2 linked regions of the Sus scrofa genome follow. Each later gene encodes a partner of the first gene's protein in a complex. Links are inferred from orthologs where the notes say so. Each region holds a gene or a part of one and is shown in the gene's direction. Other genes may lie near its edges.

Region 1 (9,644 bases):
ATGGGAACTCCCAGAATACTGCTAATTGTTCAGATTACTGTGCTTTTTTGAGTTCTTAATGGTTTTCCGTATGTTTTCTCTCTTCTTTGTGGTTAACTCTCATCTATTTTTTGTTTGTTTCTGCCAAGGGTTTCTGAGACTTAATTTTTCCCTTCTTGATTTGATGCCTTAAGCCTGCTTTGTGCTAAGTAAGATTATTAAGTTCGATAATTGTTCCCAAAATAAGTCAGTGGTCTCTGAGGTTCTTTTGTGAGTAAAGTGCATATGCTTTGTGGGATCTCTTCTTCGGTTTAGAGACCTATCCTGCTCAAGGTTCTTTTGGGTTGCCACATCTTACCTGTATCATCTTAATCTCCAAGGAGGAACTTTGGGCTGTAACAGGGTGGTCTTAAACTCCTCTTAGTGACCTATCTCATGATGCTTCTTGTTACAGCCAATACTGATGGTCTGCCTGCAAAAAGCTGAGCCCACTCCCTTTCTCTTTAATATGGGGCACCTGTGCTAGGGAGCAGACTAGGTGTATGTATTGAATGTTGAATTCTAACATATAGCATTGAAGAGATAGATGTGTCCGCAGAATTTAATTAAAGAATAAAAGCTAGTGTAACTTCTTACGGTAAGAAATGACCGAGGGAGTTCTTGTTGCAGTTCAGCAGGTTATGAACCTGACTGGTATCATTGAGTTCAGTCCCTGGTCTTGCTCAGTGGGTTAAGGATCTGACATTGCTGTGAGCTGTGGTGTAGGTCACAGACGCAGCTCAGATTGTGAATTGCTGAGGCGCAAGCCAGCAGCTGTAGCTCTGATTCCACCCCTAGCCTGGGAATTTCCATGTACCTCAGGTGTGGCCCTAAGAAGCAAAAAAAAAAAAAGGACTGATAAACCAGCAAATGACCGCAAAGACTGACCTGTTATGGATTGCTGACACTTTGAAGAACTATTTTTCAATGTTTTTAATAGTTTCTCCTTTTGGAAGCAAGTTGAACATAGCAGTAGTTTATATTTCCTCACTTTAGTAAGGAGTGTTTTATGAGTAGTAAGAACAGGTCAGGAGACATGCTTCAATCTTGGTCTCCTCCCACACTTGATGACCCACAGGTGGAAACACTATATTGGGAGGTTAGAATTCCCTATCTGCCTTCTCCTTAGGCAATATAAGTAGAGGCTGTGGCTCCTGCGAGAGAGTGTTCTCCAAGGTGGCGGAGGTTAATGTGCAGCTTCTCCCAAAGTTTGTGCATTTCTTGACATGTAGTTTAGAGGTGGCTTTTTTAAAGTAAATTTTTTGCTTGGTAGTTATATCATGGCCTATTCATTTGATTTGAAAGAGCAGTCTTAACTCTGGTTTGAGTGGCTTCTGCCAGCAAGGTAATTATTCCTTCTAATAGGAAAATATACTGCTTTTTTCGTGAATTTTCAAACTGATTAAAAGGTGAAGGTTAAAGATTGATTTCTATGTACTCCAGCTCTTTTTAAAAACTTTTCTGCCTCCACAGCTAAGAAGACAAGGCATTGGCATTAGGTTCTAAATTTTTTTGCCTATGGAAAAAGTAAGGATATTAATTCTAACATCATAGTAGTGCTGTGACCATTTATAGAGAGTATTTGGGGAGTAGAATGATCTGTGAACCTCTAGGAAAAAACCGACGGCAATCTGAAATAGAAAAGAGTGGAAATCTTTCAGGATGTAAGGCAAGTTAGTGACTTGGATTCTCTTATTTGTTGCAAATTACTAATCAGTGGCGGATTAGTGATGGAACTATCAAACAGAGATGAAAACGAAACTCAGAAAACTTCTTTGAATCTTATGTGTCTGTCCTGTATTCTTCCTTTTTTTTGCAGAAGAAACCCAAACTGCTCAGTCTCAAGGATTCTTCTATGGCAGATGCCAGCAAGCATGGTGTAGGAACGGAATCGTTATTTTTTGATAAGGTGAGTGTTGAATGAATTGGATTTAATATCAGCTCTTAATGCCCAAAGAAAATAACCTCGTCCCCCAAAAGATTTTGTTTTAGAGACATCAAGATAATTAGGTAGGACTTTTTTTTTTTTTTTTTTTTTTTTTAAGGATTTTCTACTTTTTAACAGTTTCCAAATTGTAGGTCCTTTCAGTCTATGAGAACTATTAGCACAGCTAGAGAAATGGTAGCATTGACTGCTTGGGTTTTGTGAAGTAGTTTGAAGCAAAATATAGCATTTGCCATCATGGAAGAAAGCTTTTAAAAAAGGCATATTGCTCTCAAAAGATGTTTGGAGCTCCTCATTGTAGATGCCCAGAACTATATAGTGAGGAGTGTCAGTATACTAATTATTGAGGACTTAAGATGACTTGTAACCTTCTAATTGTTATACTTGTTCGAGGTATGGCATATAGGGTTAATGGGAATTCTGATTTCCTTGTATGTTTTCAAAGCTCCCCAGGTGATTCTAATGAGCAGACAGGGTTGCGATTACAGGTGTAGTCAGTGTTGTGTGGTGTGTGAGTCTGACTTCCTCCTTGGAGTCAGTTTAATTAGCAGGCTACTTTTATCATAGTGGCTAGCAAACTTCAGACTTCTCACTGGCTGGAGCCAGCCTGGATTGATCTGGTGGTGACTTACCGTGTCTTGCATCCTTGGGTTTTTGCCGAAGGGCAAATGATTATCTCCAGAATTGGTGCCTCTCGATTTGTCTCTAGCCCTCCTGTGCCTATGCGAGCTGTGCTGCAAAATAGTCCCTGGCTCTAGCTTTGACCTGAACCATTTCTGAGGGCTCTCTGGGCCTTTGGGGCTTTTGAGGCAGATGTGAAGTCCAGGTCACAACTGACAAATGGCAAAGAAAGGGTAAGAGAGGGGGACTGAATAAGTTAATTTTTTTAAAGAGTAGTATTTTTTATTGCTGTTTTTGAAGTACTTGTTTCTTAGAGATGACTGAAGTGTGTATAGCTGAAAAGTCTGGAGTTTGCTTTAGAATTCAGTGGTGGGGGAAATGGGTGTAGATGAAACAAAATTTACTGTGTATTGATTGTTGAGGCTGGCTCAGTATATAGGGTTTATTAGACTATTCTGTCTACTTTTGTATAAGTTTAAAACTAACAGAGGAATTTCCGCCGTGGCTCAACAGAAACTAATCTGACTAGTATCCATGAGGACGCAGGTTTGATCCCTGGCCTTGCTCGATGGGTTAAGGATCCGGTGTTGCCCTGAGCTATGGTGTAGGTTGCAGACATGGCTCAGATCTGGTGTTGTTGTGGCTGTGGTGTAGGCCAGCAGCTACAGCTCCCATTTGACCCCTAGCCTGGGAACCTCCATATGCCGTGGATGCGGCCTTAAAAAGACAAAAAAATAAATAAAATAAATTTCGTTATGTTTTCACCCAGTGATTTATCTGGGCATGGGTTTGCAGAAATTGAAAATGGAAGAAATCAAAACAGCTAATTAAAAAATTTAAAAATATATATTAAGTAAAATTAATAATAAAAGCTAACAAATTAAAGTAATAGTATATATTCATCTTTTGCCTTGAAAATCCATATTCCATATAGTGTCTACCGATTGATAGTTATGAAAAGTATATGAGAGCCTGGGGAAGGGGTTTTTTGATAAACTACCGGGTTTGGTGAGTGAGGGTCTGCAATCCCCACAGTGCTAGATATATACACTTTTGACATTGAAACTCTAGATTGCTTATCTAGCCAGGCAAGTTTTACTGTGTCTATGCCACTGAACCTTTTTTTTTTTTTTTGGCCACACCTGGTGTGTGGAAGTCTCCAGGCTAGGGATCAAACCCATACTGCTGTTGCAACCTGTACCATAACTGTGGCCAGTACTGGATCCTTAACCCACTGTGCCACATGGAAACTTCCTGAACACCTAGGTTTTTGGATATTAAAATGCTTATTAGTGTTCTGAATGGAGGAAGGGAAAAGATCAAGTCAGAGGACAAAAGTACCTTATTTTAAAAGGTCATTATTCAAGATTACCAGAGTTTGAAAAGAGTGTTTATAAAGATTCTTGTATAAAGTCAGGAGAGGCAGCAGAATCTTGGGTAACTCTGATAGGGTGTGGAAAATCAAGCATGTAAAAATGTAAATGTCTTGTTTACTTCAAGGTCTCATTTTCCAAATTTTTATGGAAAATTTAAAACAAATGTGAAATTAAAGAGAATAGTAAAATGACCCTTCATATACCCATCATCCAGCCTCAGCAGTTCTTAGCTCCTAGTCGGTGTACTATTTGATGTGCACACAGCTATCCCAGATTATTTGGAGACAAATCCCACATGATATATTATTTCAACTGTAGGTATTTTACTAGGTTTCTTTTAAAATGATACCTTTTTTCCAAACATTATCGCATCTAAAAAACCTAGCATTGATTCCTTAATATCATCAAATAGCAGTTCAAATTTCCCCAATTTTAAACACAATCCAGGATCTCTTGATTCCCCACTTAACTATTTTTCCTTTCGATTGTCTCCATAAGGTCCGAAAGGCTCTGCGGAGTACAGAGGCCTATGAAAATTTCCTGCGCTGTCTTGTTATTTTTAACCAGGAGGTGATCTCTCGGGCTGAGCTTGTGCAGTTAGTCTCTCCTTTCCTGGGGTAAGTGGAATCAAGGGCTTAGCCTTGATGCCTGATATGGAGGTGAAATAAAACCTAGTTTGTGGGAGTACATGGTAGGTGAAATTAATTTGATTTTGGCAGGTCAGTTGACTCCTAAAATGTCCATGACAAGAGTCCTCTGGGAAGTCTTCTAGTTCCTCTCTGGAGACAAAAAAGTAGGCGAAGAAGGCATTGGCCAAGACTATGGTCTCCTGATCTCCTGACCGGTATTGGCTGTTTATAAAGCCAGTCTTTTCCAGGGTTATAGAATCCTGGCTTTGACAAATTAAGAATTATCTGAACATTGAAGCAATAATCTTGATTAGAAGAATGGCTCGTTATTGTCTAGTTTCAGTGCAGTTCTTCCATCACTACCTTAACTGATCTTTAGAGAAAGAGAAGAAAAGGAGAAACCACATATTCAGAAGAGTAGTGCTTCTTAGGCAGGAAATAATATTTATTATTGGAATTTGTCCAGTGGTAGCAGAGTTCTGACCCAACACCAAATAGTGGTAATCACACCTCAGTATAACTGCATCATGTTTATAGTTAACAATTTTTTATTTGATTCTTCAGGAAATTCCCAGAATTGTTTAATTGGTTTAAAAACTTTCTGGGCTATAAGGAATCTGTACATCTGGAAACCTTTCCAAAGGAACGAGCCACAGAGGGCATTGCTATGGAGATAGACTATGCCTCTTGTAAGCGGTTGGGCTCCAGCTATCGAGCCCTACCAAAGAGTTATCAGCAGCCCAAGTGCACAGGACGGACTCCTCTTTGTAAAGAGGTAAGGCCTTCCCAAGAAAAGATTAGCCCTGATTCCTTAACTTCCTCCAGAAGGGATTGTGGTACCAGGGATGGAGAATTGATATGAATGAGGAAGTCAAAACTCCTTTCTCTCTCCTTTTTTTTTTTTTTTTTTTTTTCCTGAGAAAATGTTTCACACTTACATTGAGAACCTTTTTCTGTTAATAGCTTTTGCAAACTTGCCATAGGTGAAACTTGTAATGTTAACTGTTTCTTCCTTCTAAAATTTTCTTTTTACTAAGAATGCTTAATCATCCACCAGAAAGCTTTGTTACACTTTTGTTTCAATTTCTCTTCTTTTACCCAAAGGTTTTAAATGATACCTGGGTCTCCTTCCCCTCCTGGTCTGAGGACTCCACCTTTGTTAGTTCCAAGAAAACTCAGTATGAAGAACATATCTATCGTTGTGAAGATGAACGCTTTGAGGTACAAGCTTCTTCATCATTTGAAGTTTGGGGAAATGGGAGATATGAAATGAGAGGGTATCTTAAATACCTACCTGGGAGGGTTGGCTCTTAAGACCAAAGAACCAGAGAGGCTCACATTCTTCTGTTGTGATTGTACTTAACCATGTTTTATGACTTTGTCAATTATCTTAGTGATATCTTTATGACAAATGTGATTTATCTAGGCCACTTTAACCTTTTTAGCTGAATTTAACCATTGATGGCTGAATAATACTTCTTTGAATTTTTAATGGCGTGAAGGTTATTGTGTTTTACATGGTATATAAAATGAGTATTTTAAGACCTTGTGGGCTTTCTTTGCAGCTGTTTTAAATTATTTATCTTAGAGGAGTTCCCTTCATGGCTCAGTGGTTCGTGAACCCGACTAGGATCCATGAGGACGTGGGTTCGACCCCTGGCCTTGCTCAGTGGATTAAGGATCCGGCGTTGCCATGAGCTGTGGTGTAGGTCATAGATGTGGCTTGGATCCTGCATTGCTGTGGCTGTGGTGTAGCCTGGTGGCTACAGCTCTGATTCGACCCCTAACCTGGGAACCTCCTCATGCCACAAGTGCGGCCCTAAAATAACAACAACAAAAAATGATTTATCTTAGAGTGTTATTCTTAGCAGGTATCATGACATGGTTAGCAAACCAACTCTCCAGTGAGAGCTAGAGCTCTTCTCTCATATTTCTGATACTGATGTGGCTCCTTCTGAAAGAAAGTTGAGTTAGGTACTGTATTTCAAAGTAGTTGGGAAGGAAAGAGCTGGAGTGAAGAAATGAGCTGGTAGAGAGCCCCCTATACCAGGAGTGGGGGTACTGAAAGTGGACTCACTCCCTAGTGTGTTTAAATGTCTAGTTCACTGACAACAACAAAAAGAGAATGATAAATGTGTCTAAAGAGGTGAAATTACAGGCATCCTATTTAATGTATGTATTATATAAAACTGGCCCTGCTCATTCCTGTAGATGGGAGATGTTTTGCTACTTTTTTAATCCATACTGATTTAGCTCTCTGCCAGTTAATCTCCCTTCACGCTTGCTTCGTCTGTTTCTGGCATGTTTTGAACGAAGAGCCACATGTTGCTTCACCACGGCAGGCACTCGGCCAATCTCTGCCCCAGCGTTTATGAGGAGCGTCACCCATTTGCAGAATACTCAATCGTGACAGATATTAGCTTCTATAGAAAGTTTTTATCAAGCTAAAGTATTTCTTTTTTACCTATGTTTTGCAAGGTCAGGTGATGAGTTAGGAAGCAGAGATTGGCATTGTTCTTGATAGAATATTCCTCTTCTCAGTTGGTATGCCTGCAAATGAGAGGCAACAGCCTCATTTCCCATTTGTGATTATAGGAGTGAAGATGAAAGAAACATGTATGTATGCATGTATGTATGCATGCATGTGCTTAGGATTGGATGGGATGGACTAGTGAAGGAGCATTCCTTTATATATCAGCATAGGTTAATATTCTTGCAGTGCAGACAACCTCCAAATCTCAGTGGCTTGAAAAAACAGATTTACTTCTTCATCATACTACATGTGCATTGATGTTTAGCAGGAGATTCTGCTCATCAGAATTACTTGGGGACCTAGGCTGACAAAATGCCACCATCTTGAACAACACCAGTGATTAGGGGGGAAAAAAGCTCAGATGGATCTTGCCCCCTGAAATCCTCAGGCCTAGAACAGATATTACTTCCACTAACCTGTTTACAACTCATTTTCCCGAACTAGTTACATGGCCCTCTCTAATCACAAAGGAGCCAAGAAGTTCAATCCATCATTTATCCATAACTGGAAAAGGAGGACCAGAAATATTTGACGAAATGACTACTGTAGTCCTGAAACTAGAGAACTTAGCAACACTCAGACATTTGGTTATATGCTCTTTAGAATGCTCACTTACTTCATTTTCTGTGTCTCATCTAGAGAATTTTGTGTTAAAAAGTTGTGGCGTTCCCATTGTGGGTTAGCAATAATGGACATGACTGGTATCCATGAGGATGCAGTTTCAATCCCTGGCCTCACTCATTGGTTAAGGATCCGGTGTTGCTGTGAGCTGCAGTGTAGATGGTAGGTGCAGCTCAGATCTGGCCTTGCCGTGGCTATGGTGTAGGTCAGCAGCTGCAGCTCCAATTCAGTCTGTAGCCTGGGAACTTCCATATGCCACAAGTGCAGCCCTAAAAAGCAAAAAAAAAGTTTGCTAGTCGTGTATATCCTTAACCAGGCTGGGCTAGGTCCTTGCCAGAAAGTAAAGTACGAGAAATTCAGTAAGAGTTCAAATGGTTACCCGCAGCTCCAACACTTAAGGAATGATAGTCACAGTTCTTATTACTACTGGATGTGGAATGAGACTATTAAATATTTAATCATGTATTTCAAGTTACCCTGAAAAATCTGAAGCACTTAAGGAATGATAGTCACAGTTCTTATTACTACTGGATGTAGAATGAGACTATTAAATATTTAATCATGTATTTCAAGTTACCCTGAAAAATCTTACTCGTAAGACTGGTTTATCATCTTGAGTGATCTTTTTGGAATTTTGTTGTTGTGGTTGTTATTGTTGGTAACAGAACTTAGTAATTCATGAAAGTTCAGGGAAAGTGTCAGTCAGGTTGCCTCCTCCATTAGGTAGGTCTGGTGTGAGGGCCAGAAAAAAAGCATACTGGTGGTGGAAGAAATATTAACTATCACTTAGTGATCATTTATTGGATGTTTCTTGTGTGTCTAGCATTGTGCTAACCCCTCTATTCAGTAAACAACCTTGTGAGAGTAGGTGGTGTTATCCCGGTTGTACCGATAAGGAAACAGTGTTTTATATGGCTTTAGCGTGGCCGAGCGAGGATTCAGATCCATAGAGTTTGACTTCTACCCATACTCCTGACAGCTCTTTTCTGGTTTGGGTCTTAAGTACACCCTGTATTTTTTCTTTAGCTTGATGTAGTATTAGAGACCAATCTGGCAACCATCCGGGTTCTGGAAGCAATACAGAAGAAGCTTTCCCGCTTGTCTGCTGAGGAACAAGCCAAATTTCGCTTGGACAACACCCTTGGGGGCACATCGGAAGTTATCCATCGAAAAGCACTCCAGAGGATATATGCTGATAAAGCAGCTGACATCATTGATGGTCTGAGAAAGAACCCCTCCATTGCCGTCCCAATTGTCCTTAAAAGGTACCCGAGCAAATACGCCCTTCATGCTTTAGTGTCCTTGACGGATTTAGCATCCCATTAATTAAGATTCTCCTTTTCAACTTGGTTATCCCATGAGATCTCCATTTGTCCTCAAGGCTGTTGTTGGAAATCAGGTGGAGTGTGGAATAGTGGAGCTTCTTGTTGGGGTTCTGTGTAACCAACAGTAGAGAACAAACGTTTAAAATCCATAGTGGAATGCTGTCTGTGTTTGAGGGGATATTTTAAAATAGAGAAAAGAACAAGGGAGAAAACACCTACCCACGTTCCTGCCACTTAGTACTAACTGACTTTCACATCTTTGTTTTTTAATAAGAAAAATCACTCTTTGTCTTGGTAAAATTGATACCTGTTATTTAATAAGACTTAACTTGCCATTTTTACCAAGAATGTCTTACTTCTTTCTCCTAACAAACCTTGGGTCTGAGTTATAGTGGGGCTGTTGTACCCACCTAAGGCCAGGCACCACAGGGGAGGCCTGGGCTGAGCCCCAGGCTCCTCCACGTCCATGGCACTCTGTACCATACTGTGAATCCCTGCTAAGAGCTGGGTCCTCCCTTGGTATCACCTGGTGAAAACTTATCTGCTGCATAATTCACAAGTGCCCAGATGTTATTA
Region 2 (10,375 bases), on another chromosome or scaffold:
TGATGTGGTCTGAGGGTAGACAGCAAGGTGGAACTCCTGGGCTGAGCCAGATCATGAGCTCCTTAACCAGAGAGTGCTGCCTGACCGGAGAGCAGTGGTTTTTGTTCTCACCCTGTGTCTCCGGCCACCACTAATCCAGCCGTGCCTTTTTGAGAAGTGGAGAAGGGAAGGGCACCCTTTCCTGCAGGTGGCCAGGGCCTGGCTCATGGAGCGCAGCAGGGTCGCAGCCCCTTCTGCCTGTGCTTTTGTGCAGGGCACAGTCCACTCAGCCGCAGCAGCCCTGGCTGCAAGTTCTGGAAGGCTTTTATTTTTTATTTTTATTTTTTTTTTGGTCTTTTTGCTATTTCTTGGGCCGCTCCTGTGGCATATGGAGGTTCCCAGGCTAGGGGTCGAATCGGAGCTGTAGCCACCGGCCTACGCCAGAGCCACAGCAACGCGGGATCCGAGCCGCGTCTGCAACCTACACCACAGCTCACGGCAACGCCGGATCCTTAACCCACTGAGCAAGGGCAGGGACCGAACCCACAACCTCATGATTCCTAGTCGGATTCGTTAACCACTGCGCCACGACGGGAACTCCTCTGGAAGGCTTTTGAGCAAGGCGGTGTCCCAGTTTGGTTTGGGCCTTGTGACGGTCACTTGAGAAGGAGGAAGGCTGCAGGGTGGAATGGAGTGGGCGGTGGGGGGGGCAGCACCTGGGATGGGCAGCAGCTGAACTCGCTTTGAGCGGGAAGAAGAGCAGGGAGGTGGTTCCTGGGACGTGAGGCTTGGTGGCCCCAGGGGTGACCGGCTGGTCAGAGCAGGGGGCAGAGGCAGTGAGCACAAAGCCCACCCCTGGGCATGCTCCTGACTCTCCCCTCACCCACCCCCAGAGCTGGGGGACCTTCCTCTTGTCCGCCTGGATTTCTCCTGTAACCGTGTCTCCCGCATCCCGGTCTCCTTCTGCCGCCTCAGGCACCTGCAGGTCATTCTGCTGGACAGCAACCCCCTGCAAAGCCCACCTGCTCAGGTGAGGGGTGGCCTGGGCTGGGCCATGCGGACAGGGCTGAGAATGGGCAGAAGTTGGGGCGTCGGTCCCTTCGGTAGCCAAGCAGGATCTGGGGAGCACCCTCCTGTCCCCTAACTACCCCTCCATGTGCCTCCACACCTAGGTCTGCCTGAAGGGGAAACTTCACATCTTCAAGTATTTGTCAACGGAGGCTGGGCGGCGCGGGGGGTCTGCACTGGGAGACCTGGCCCCTTCCCGCCCCCCGAGTTTCAGTCCCTGGTAAGTTTCAAGTGGGAAGGAAGGAAGCCCCTGGATACTTAACCCCTTCCTGGCAGGGACCCCATGGAGGGCAGGTTGGGAGGTTGCTGCCCAGCCCACAGTAGGGCTGAGCAGCTCTCGCTGCTGACCCCAGCCCAGCTGAGGACTTGTTTCCGGGACGTCGGTACGACGGTGGGCTGGACTCAGGCTTCCACAGCGTTGACAGTGGCAGCAAGAGGTGGTCTGGAAATGAGGTAAAGGCCTTCTTTCCCTGGACACTGGGCATCTCCACCCTGGGGGGAGCCTCTGAGCTGGGACCCTTTGCCTGCTGCCTCTAAATCTCAGAGTGACAGCTGGTGGCTGGAGCTGTCGTCTTCCTTCCCTCGCCCTTGTATCTCTGGGAAGGGCTGGCTCAGGAGCAGAGCCTGAGGCCCTGAGCACTGGGAGCCCCCAACCCCAGAGAGCCTGTCTCCCTTCTGTGCATCTCTGCATTTACAGTCGACGGATGAGTTTTCTGAGCTGTCGTTCCGGATCTCGGAGCTGGCCCGGGAGCCTCGGGGACCCAGGGAGCGGAGGGAGGATGGCTCTGGTGAGTTGTGGGGTTAGGCTGGGGGCTCGGGGGAATGGATGAGGGCCTAAAGGCCCCCATCTGCTGGCTGACCTGCCCTCTCTCCAGCCGACGGAGACCCCGAGCAGATTGACTTCATCGACAGCCACGTCCCTGGGGAGGAGGAAGATCGAGGTGCTGGCGAGGTGAGGGCTGCCTGCTTTCACGTGTGTGTCCGCCACCAGCGGGCTGCAGGGAGGGCACTAGAGCAGGCTCGAGGGACCCCCTCAGCCCCTCTGCTGTTATTCCTTCAGGAGCAGCGGCCACCAGAATCGAGCCCCGTGGCAGGGGACAGGGAGAGGGCGCCAAGCAGCAGGTACCCAGAGCTGCCTGAGCCTGCACCTCCTCCCTTTACCCCATCACCCGCACCTCTGCCCTCCCTGGACCCGGCTCTACCTCTCCTCTGCCTTTGCCCCTCAGGCGGGAGGAGCCTGCAGGGGAGGAGCGCCGGCGCCCAGACACCTTGCAGTTGTGGCAGGAGCGTGAGCGGCGGCAGCAGCAGCAGCAGCAGCAGCAGAGTGGGGTGTGGGGGGCCCCCAGGAAGGACAGGTGCGGGCCTGGGGGTGACTGCCGGGCGGTGGGCTCTGGGAGTAAGCCCTCCTGAGCTTCTCTGCCAGTCAGGGTTGGCGGGGCCCCTGCCTGGCACTACTCACCCCACATGTCCTCCTCCATTTTCCAGTTTTCTGAAGTTGGGAGTCAGGGCTGCTGGTGGGGGTGCTGCTGCCTCATCCGCTCAGGCCACCTACAAGTATGTGTCCTCCTGGACTCCCCCCCTCCCCCCACTCCATCCTGTCCCTTCACACCCCTCCCCTGACTCCCCCCTCTCATTCTCCTTCTGTTTCTCCTCAGCAGCACACCTAAGCCCAGTGCCCCCCAGCAGGGAGCTTCAGGGGGGCAGGGAGCCCCTGCCCCCACTCCGGCTTCCACCTGCCAGGAGCCCCTTCCTGTAGCTGAACCAGGTGGGACAGGGGCTTTGGGAAGAGGGAGACCTGGTGGCCTGAGAGGGAGTAGGACCCTGCGGGGATGTTTCTCTCACCTGCCCCTGCCCCCTGGCTCTGGCCCCCAGCAACCGCCCCGGCTCCCCGGCCGCTCGGCTCCATCCAGAGACCAAACAGCTTCCTCTTCCGTTCTTCTTCTCAGAGTGGCTCAGGTGGGTCTTCCCCCGCCCCAGTACTAACCCAGTGCTAATCCAGTACTAACCCAGTACTAAGCCATGGGCTGGGGTCATCCCTTCTGCTGGCCTGGGAGTTCTCTGCTCAGTTGCCCTTTCTTTTTTTTTTTGCTTTCTAGGGCCTCACCCGCAGCATATGGAGGTTCCTAGGCTAGGGATCCAATGGGAGCTACAACAGCCGGCCTATACTAGAGCCACAGCAACAGGGGATCTGAGCCACGTCTGCGACCTACACCACAGCTCACAGCAACTCCGGATTCTTAACCCACTGAGCGAGGCCAAAGATCGAACCCACAAACCTCATGGTTCCTAGTCGGATTCGTTTCCACTGCGCCACCATGGGAACTCCTCAGTTGCCTTTTTGTGTTGCAAATCCCATGAGCACAGAGGCAGGAGATGTGGGTGCCAGACACTGCGAACTGGCTACAAGGTGGGTGGAGGCCAGTGGAGACAGCCCCACACCTTCCTCTTTCTCCAGGCCCTTCCTCACCAGACTCTGTCCTGAGACCTCGGCGATCCCCTCAGCTGTTGGACGAAAAGGAGGTGATGGCTCAGCTGCGCCAGGTATGAGAGGCGGGGTCTGCGTGGGGCCTGGGCTTCCCTCGACATCCTCTCCGCCCACCCTGGTACTTCCGCGGAAGATGGAAGGGACGGGAGGGGGTTCCCTGCTGACCCTGACCTCTCTCCCGGCTCCCCCTGCCTCCCAGGTCCTTGAGTCACGGCTGCAGCGGCCCCTGCCCGAGGACCTGGCCGAGGCTCTGGCCAGTGGGGTCATCCTCTGTCAGCTGGCCAACCAGCTGCGGCCGCGGTCTGTGCCCTTCATTCACGTGCCCTCGCCTGCTGTGGTCAGTTGGGGCCCAGGACAGGAAGTAGGGGTTGGGACGGGGGACTCCTGTGGCTTCTCCCTTACTTTTTTTTTCTTCCTTACCCACCCCCAGCCAAAACTCAGTGCCCTCAAGTCTCGGAAGAATGTGGAGAGTTTCTTAGAAGCCTGTCGAAAAATGGGGGTGCCTGAGGTATGGGGGTGTGTTCTCAGGAGCCCAGGGCTGGTCTCTGCTCTAAAGAGTGCCGTGTCCTGGGCTCAGCTGAGCACTCTGCATGGACGGCGGGACTGCATTCCTGGGGGGTGTCTGCTCCCCAGAAGGAAGCACGTCCCCCAGCCCCGAGCCTGCATGTGTCCCCTGCGTGCCCCCCTTCCCTGCACTCTGCATGTTGGCGTGGCTCTGGCCCTGGCACGTGAGGGCAGGGGGTGGGAAGGATCGTCGTGCTGCTGCTGCTGACGTGTGTCCTTTGTCCTTGTCCATCTGTCCTACTCTCCCTTCCCAGGCTGACCTGTGCTCGCCCTCGGACCTCCTCCAGGGCACCGCCCAGGGGCTGTGGACCACCCTGGAGGCCGTGAAGCGGGTGGGGGGCAGGCCTCCCCCACCCCTCTGGCCTCCCTCTGGTCTGGGCGGCTTCATCTTCTTCTACGTCGTCCTCATGCTGCTGCTCTGTGTCGTCTACACTCGGCTCCTGGGTTCTTAGGACCTGAAGTCACCCCTGCCCTTACCCCCTCGCCCTGTTTCTATTTATAAGACTCCCGTGGGAGCCCCATCCCCACCGGTGGTGCCTTCAGCCCCTACCAAAGACACTAGTGAGCCCCCTCCCCTCAGAAACACTGACCTCAGAGGCCCCACTCTGGTGCCCCCAGACCCTGGGCCCGCAGCCTCTGGCCCGCCTCCTGTAGCCCCTCCCCTCTCAGCGCTGACGGTGCCTTCGAGCCTCTCCCTGCCCTGCCCTCTGCTTCCCCAGAGGGTGGATCCTAATCTCCCCCCCCCCGCTAGGGGGGGCTAAATTATCTATATTTTGTAGAGAGAACTCTATATTTGTAGGGGATGAGGGGCCCAGGCTGGGTCCCTGTCTCTTGTATAAATTGTACAGACTGTGGCCACCTGTGTGTGTGTGTGTGTGTGTGTATGTGTATGTGTGTTTGCGTCTGCTCCCTCTGTGCCTGGGCCCAGCCCTGGCCGTGTCCCTTGGGCTCCATGTGCCAGCCTGCCTACTCCAGCATTTCCCTCTGGAAATGTCAGGTCTCTCCTTCCCTCTGAGCCTTGGCCCCCTGTGTCATCTTCCTTCTGTCACCCACTGGCAGCTTCCTTGCATCTCATTTGTCCTCAAGCCATGTCCAGGGTGCCCCTGACCTTTGTCCCCTACATGCTGTCAGCCGCCTTTGCCCAGGCTCCTCCAGGGTGCCTTCCACCCTACAGCCGAGAGGAGGAGGTGACAAGAACTTAACCTGGCCCCTCCCTCCAGGAGTCCCTGTGCCAGCCCCACCACATCCTGGAGGAGGAGGGGGCTCCGGGAAGGGGCCTCCCCTACATCGCTGCTGTCGTCCACGCACTGCTGGAACGGCCTTAGGGGTTGAGGTCGGGGGTGCAGGGCCGCGACCCGGCCAGGACCCCAGGAACAGAAGACAGACACGCCTGGGCTCTGCTCTCTAGCGAGGACTGGTGAGGGCGGCCTCGGGCCTGGCCCTGTTCCTCGGGCACTTCGGCCTGAGAGATTGGAAGCCGGCCCAGCAAGGCGCGTGGTCACCTCTGGGTGCGGCCGTGGGTCTGGGATGGCAGGAGGGCCCTGAATATTGTGTCAAGTGCAATAAAGAGAGGCCAGAAGCCATCTAGGTTGCCCCTCGGGGGGTGTGTGTGTATGTGTGTGTGTCTGCGAACGAAAGCTGGGTCGCCCGCATCTCCACTGGGCGCCACAGGTCCCCCGCCGCCAGGGGGCGCCCACGGGATCCCGGCGGGAGCGCGCGCCACGTGGCCCGGAAACGCGCTGGGCGCCGGCGTCGCGAGGCCCTGAGAGGTGGGCCGACCTGGGCTCGCGGGGACCGGGACGCTTAGGGCTCCGCTGGCCGCTAAGGGAGGTAGAGCCCGAGTGGGTTCCAGGAGCGGCCAGGCGGGCGGAGGGCGCGGAGGTGCTGCCCAGCCCTGCACCCAGACGGGGCATGTTGCCCTGGACCCCCCGGCGGTGGGGCGCGGGCGGGGAGCCGGCGCCCGAGGAACAAGGCCCCTGGATGGGCAGTAACCCCGGCCAGACCTGGGACTCTGGAGAGGAGCCGGAAACACCACCACAGGACAGGTGAGGGGCTTGGCTGGCGGCTCTTGGGGGAAACAGGAGCCCACAATGTGAGAAAATCTCAGTGTCCCTGCTGAAGAATGGGTGTGAGCCTTCTCCCCGCCCTGGGCACCCTTGGGCCTGCCTTGGAAATAACTCAGATTTGGAGCAGGGAGGTGACTGGGAGAGGCTGTGACTGGAGCATCTCAGTACCACCCCCTCTCAGCCCTCAGCCCAGGTCCCTAAGGCCTTCCTGGACCTGGAAAGAGCAGCTGCTGCCTTGGAGGCCCCCATGCTTGGCTGCAGAGCGGTCCTCGGGAACCCCAGGTAGGTTTAAGGTCCTGCCATTTTTTCTCCTAAGACGCTTTTACCGATTCCTGAGCCTGTCTTAATTGCTTCAAGTCCCCTCCCCCCAGGTCCTCTCTCCCCCGAGATGACCTGGGAGGTGGCCCCATCAAGGATGACCTTGCTAACACCTTGGGACCCCAACTATGAGGCTCAAGCAGAACCACGGCAGGTGTGGGTGAGTTGGGGGTACCTGCGGCTCTGGCCTCGGGTGGGGCAGGGCTGCCTTGGGATGGGGCTGAAGCTGCAGGAACCTCACCTGTCTCTCCAGGGACCCAGCTGTGCATCTGGTGCCTCCTTCTCAGGCCGGACTTTGTGTCATCCGTCATTCTGGCCCCTGTATGAGGCAGTCTCAGGCAGAGGCCTCAGGCCGGGTCTGACAGGACATTGGAGCCGAGAGCAGGTGCCGAGGGATGCAGGTACTGCCCTTGGTCCCCTCAGCTCTGCAGGGAACCGGAGCAGAGCTTGCTGCCCTAGTAGCTTCTTTCTCCTCCCCAGGGCTCCCTGTGATGTCCTGTGAAGATGTCTTTCTTTCAGACCCTCTTCTGCCTTGTGGGCAGCGTGTTCCCCTATACCTGTCCGAGCCCCCTCAGCAGGTGAGCGCTCTTCCTGCCCTGGCCTCACCCCAGCGCTCACCGCAGGGCTTGGGAAGAGACACTTGCCCCTCCTCTCTCCTCAGGTGATGGGCTCTCTGAAGCTGCTGCTCCCACCCCCGATCATGTCCCCCTGGGTGCTCCCCACTCCATCCTCTGGCTGTCCCACCGCCTGGCTCAGTGGGCCCGAGCTGATCGCCCTCACCGGTCTCCTGCAGATGAGCCAGGGGGAGCCGAGGCCCAGCTTCTCCGGGGCTCCCCCGCCCCCTCCCGGCCCCCCAGACCTCGTCTCTGACCACCCGGGTGCCAGTGGTGCCCAAAGCTGTTCTCACTGCACTGACCCATCTCTCCCACGAACCCCAGACACCCATGGTCCATAGCCTCTCTGGGGGCAGAGTGGGCCCCCTACTTCCCCAGGCAGGTTCTGTTGACAATAAAACAGTGTTGGTTTGCAGACAAGTTCCTCGTGGTAGATAGCAGAGTGGGTTGTGGAGGCAGGGATGGGGTCCCCTCCTCCACCACGGTTTTGGCTGCCCTCCCCACCCCCTCCAGGGCGGGGGAATCCATGGACCTAAGATCTTTCCAGCTGACCAAGCAGGGAACCTTTAATGTCGGGGGCGGGGTGGGGAGTCTAGTCTCTTAGACTAATTATATAGGAAGCAAGGACTCCATCAGCTCTGCCAGCTCTGGGAGCAGGGAGGATCGTGAGCACAGAGCTGGCGTTGGGAGAGGGAAACTAGGGAGTAAGGGGGTGCCTCACTTTGGGGAGGCCCTAGTGTAGGACTCCTGGTGCTCTGGGGCCCCAGGAGTTCAGCCCTGAGGCTGGACGTGTGTGTATGTCTCGGGGGTGGTTCTTTGGCTCCAAAGATACACCAGGCCAGCCCTGCGGGCCTGCGGGGGAGGGGCAGGGGCAGGTCCAGGTCCATATCTTCCGCAGCCGAGGCCGGGGCAGGGGCCTGACTTAAGGCTCTGGAGTGATGCTGCGGGGCCTCTGGGGGAAACAGGATCAGGGCTTTGGCTGAGAATGTCCAGAAATCTGTGAGGTTGTGGAGGTTTTGGGGGTTTGTTTTCAAGGGGAGGGAGAGTTCTAGAATTTTCTCCCTTAAAAGAATCCAGCTTCTTGGGGAACCTCCTCCCAAAGATTTCCCAGGCGGCACAGCTGAAAGGGGCGGAGTGGGCACCAGGCCCCAAGAAGCAGCTTAGCAAGCCTCTGCGGGTCACACCTCCTAGGGGACATCTCTGCTTTAGAGCCTCTCCGTCTCAGGGAAGGGGTCTGTGGGGTTGAGGGGCGTGGGCAGGAAAGCACTCTTAACTTTGCCCTGTTTTCTCCCGCCGTCTCCGTCTGTCAGTTAAACCAGACGGGGTTGCCAGGGTCTCCTCCCTCGGGCCTCCCCAGAGTTCTGGAACTCTATGCGGGCGTAGCTGTGCGGGCCGTGCCTGGCCCCGGGGGCGTTGCCTCCCGCCTCCAGGGGAGGGACCAGGTCCAGGTCGACGTAGTTGAGGCAGCTGGCGGGGGTTTCGGGTGTGGCTACGTGGTCCGAGTACTCGATGCACACGTACTCCCCGGCCAGCTCTGACGGCGGCTGCAAGCAGGGCTGAGCCCCTGTGGGGCCCCAGCTGCCTCCGACGCGCAGAGGAGGGCTTTGGAGCCCCGTTTCAGGCTCCCCGGCCCCAGGCCTGTAGGAACCGGGCAAAGAGCTCAAGAAAAGGGACCGTGGTGCACAGCGGCTCATGGACACGTATTCAGAGTGCCCGCCATCCAGAGGTGGCTGATGGGGAGCGGCTTTGGCCGAGGCAGGGAGGCCCAGGGGCGCCATCACCACGTAGCTGCTGGCTTGCCCGTCTCCCATGGGCACGTAGTCTCTCCTGGCTCCCATGGTTATGTAGCCCCCGCCCCGCCCCAACCCCTCAGGCTGTGAGGCCGCTGCCCCCAGCATCGCCAGCGTCTTAGGGGTTGCTTGCTCGCTCCTCTCACTAGGGCACCCCAGACGGTTCAGGCTGCCTGACTGAGCCGCAGAGGCTGGGGTCTCAGAGGGTCTGGGGGCCCTCGTCGGGGGCTTTCTTGGCAGTGGCTCAGTCCTGCCACTAGCACCAGTGTCCCCGATTCGCTTCATGGCGGCCAGGACAGTCTCGTGAATGCTTTGGGCCATCACAGCATCGGGCGCCTGTAGCCACAGCTCCCCGGGACCTGTGGGTGCTGAGCGCCCGAGCTCCAGGAAGAAGAAAGAGTCTGCGTGACCACAGCGGCGCACGCTGAGCAGGGACAGGCGCAGGGCTGGGGGCGGAGGTGCCTGGGTGGCCCTGGAGCTTCTGCCCCTGGGCTTCCGCAGCAGGCTCAGTACCCCGGAACCCAGGCACAAGCAGTAGCCGCCGCTGCCCAGGCCTCGTGTCTGCCCCAGCCCCTTGGGCCGCAGCGTCACGGGCCAGATGTCCTGAAACGGAGCGAGCATCCAGGCCTCGGGGTCCTCGTGGGAGCTGGGCCCTGGAGAGACAACAGGCGGGTCACAGAGCTTCTGGGCCGGGAGCTTGGAGTCAGTGTGCCCCGGGGACTGACAACGCGTAAACGCTTCATTTTGGATTGGATTTCGGAGACCTGGGGGAGGGACAGCCTACGGATAAGCCAAATCCACGATCACCCCCCCCACCCTCCCACCCTGGGCTTGGGCCTCACCGGCGGCGGCGCGCGCCTCAAGCAGGGCGCTGTACCACGCCTGCTGCTCCGCCTCGCTGGCCGCCGCCACGCCCAGGCTGCGGTCGGCGGTGAAGAGGAAGATCAGGTGGCGCTGGCGCGCGTCCACGCGCTTGCTGATGGTGCACGCGCCCGTCAGGCTCACGCTGAGCTTGGGAGCCGCTCGGCCGGCGTGGAACTTCTTCTCGCTCTCGTAACACTCGAGGCGCGGCGGGTCCGCGCGGAGCACGAAGAAGCGGCGGTGCTGGGACTTGTGCTTCCGAAGGTGGCCGCAGAGCCGCACGTCAGCCGGGCAGGCCCAGGGCGACAGCGGACCCAGGGCCACGTCGGCCGACTCAGACTCCGGGGCCGTCGTGGGGCTGCCGCCGCCGCCGCCTCTGGGCTTCATCCTGGGCCAAAGGCGACCAAGTGGCCGGAGCAGGAGCGGAGACGGCTGGGAAGAGGCTCGCCGAGGTGGGGTTCTAGAGGTAGCGGTCCCGGGGGAGGGGGCAGCGTCCTGACAGGCTGCCACTGCCTTAATGCCCGGCGTCTCTCTCCCCCGCTCCCGACTTGAAGTTTGGGGCAGGGGGTCTGCAGTGGCCCCTCGCTGCGCGCAGCGTGTGACCCAGTGACTGCTCGACGGCCTGAGACA

The links.
Region 2: the proteins of SIN3A (region 1) and SAP25 are in contact, whole or in part, in an NMR structure (PDB 2RMS), measured with the Mus musculus proteins. The link is inferred for Sus scrofa from reciprocal best matches to the Homo sapiens genes SIN3A and SAP25. Residues at the interface, in NP_001103821.1 of Mus musculus: Leu121, Lys122, Val123, Ala126, Leu127, Leu130, Tyr144, Phe147, Leu148, Met151, Lys152, Phe154, Lys155, Thr161, Val164, Phe182, Phe185, Leu186, Pro187; in NP_001075431.2 of Mus musculus: Ala208, Glu209, Ile211, Ala212, Leu213, Ala214, Gly215, Leu216, Leu217, Gln218, Met219, Ser220, Glu223.

What each region holds. Positions count from the first base shown.
Region 1 is NC_010449.5:58,210,798-58,220,441, forward strand, and holds part of SIN3A (paired amphipathic helix protein Sin3a), read left to right. Parts: intron 1-1,837; coding exon 1,838-1,927; intron 1,928-4,458; coding exon 4,459-4,577; intron 4,578-5,153; coding exon 5,154-5,364; intron 5,365-5,693; coding exon 5,694-5,810; intron 5,811-8,769; coding exon 8,770-9,008; intron 9,009-9,644. UniProt on the Homo sapiens protein: Acts as a transcriptional repressor. Corepressor for REST. Interacts with MXI1 to repress MYC responsive genes and antagonize MYC oncogenic activities. Also interacts with MXD1-MAX heterodimers to repress transcription by tethering SIN3A to DNA.
Region 2 is NC_010445.4:8,494,588-8,504,962, reverse strand, and holds SAP25 (histone deacetylase complex subunit SAP25), read left to right. Parts: upstream 1-4,548; 5' UTR 4,549-6,007; coding exon 6,008-6,141; intron 6,142-6,343; coding exon 6,344-6,444; intron 6,445-6,533; coding exon 6,534-6,640; intron 6,641-6,733; coding exon 6,734-6,881; intron 6,882-6,960; coding exon 6,961-7,058; intron 7,059-7,141; coding exon 7,142-7,435; 3' UTR 7,436-7,514; downstream 7,515-10,375. Other genes in the region: LRCH4 (leucine-rich repeat and calponin homology domain-containing protein 4), read left to right, coding at 873-1,009, 1,152-1,267, 1,401-1,500, 1,745-1,835, 1,923-1,999, 2,108-2,169, 2,274-2,402, 2,533-2,601 and 5 more; insulin receptor substrate 1-like, read right to left, coding at 8,405-9,648, 9,727-10,132. UniProt on the Homo sapiens protein: Involved in the transcriptional repression mediated by the mSIN3A but not the N-CoR corepressor complex.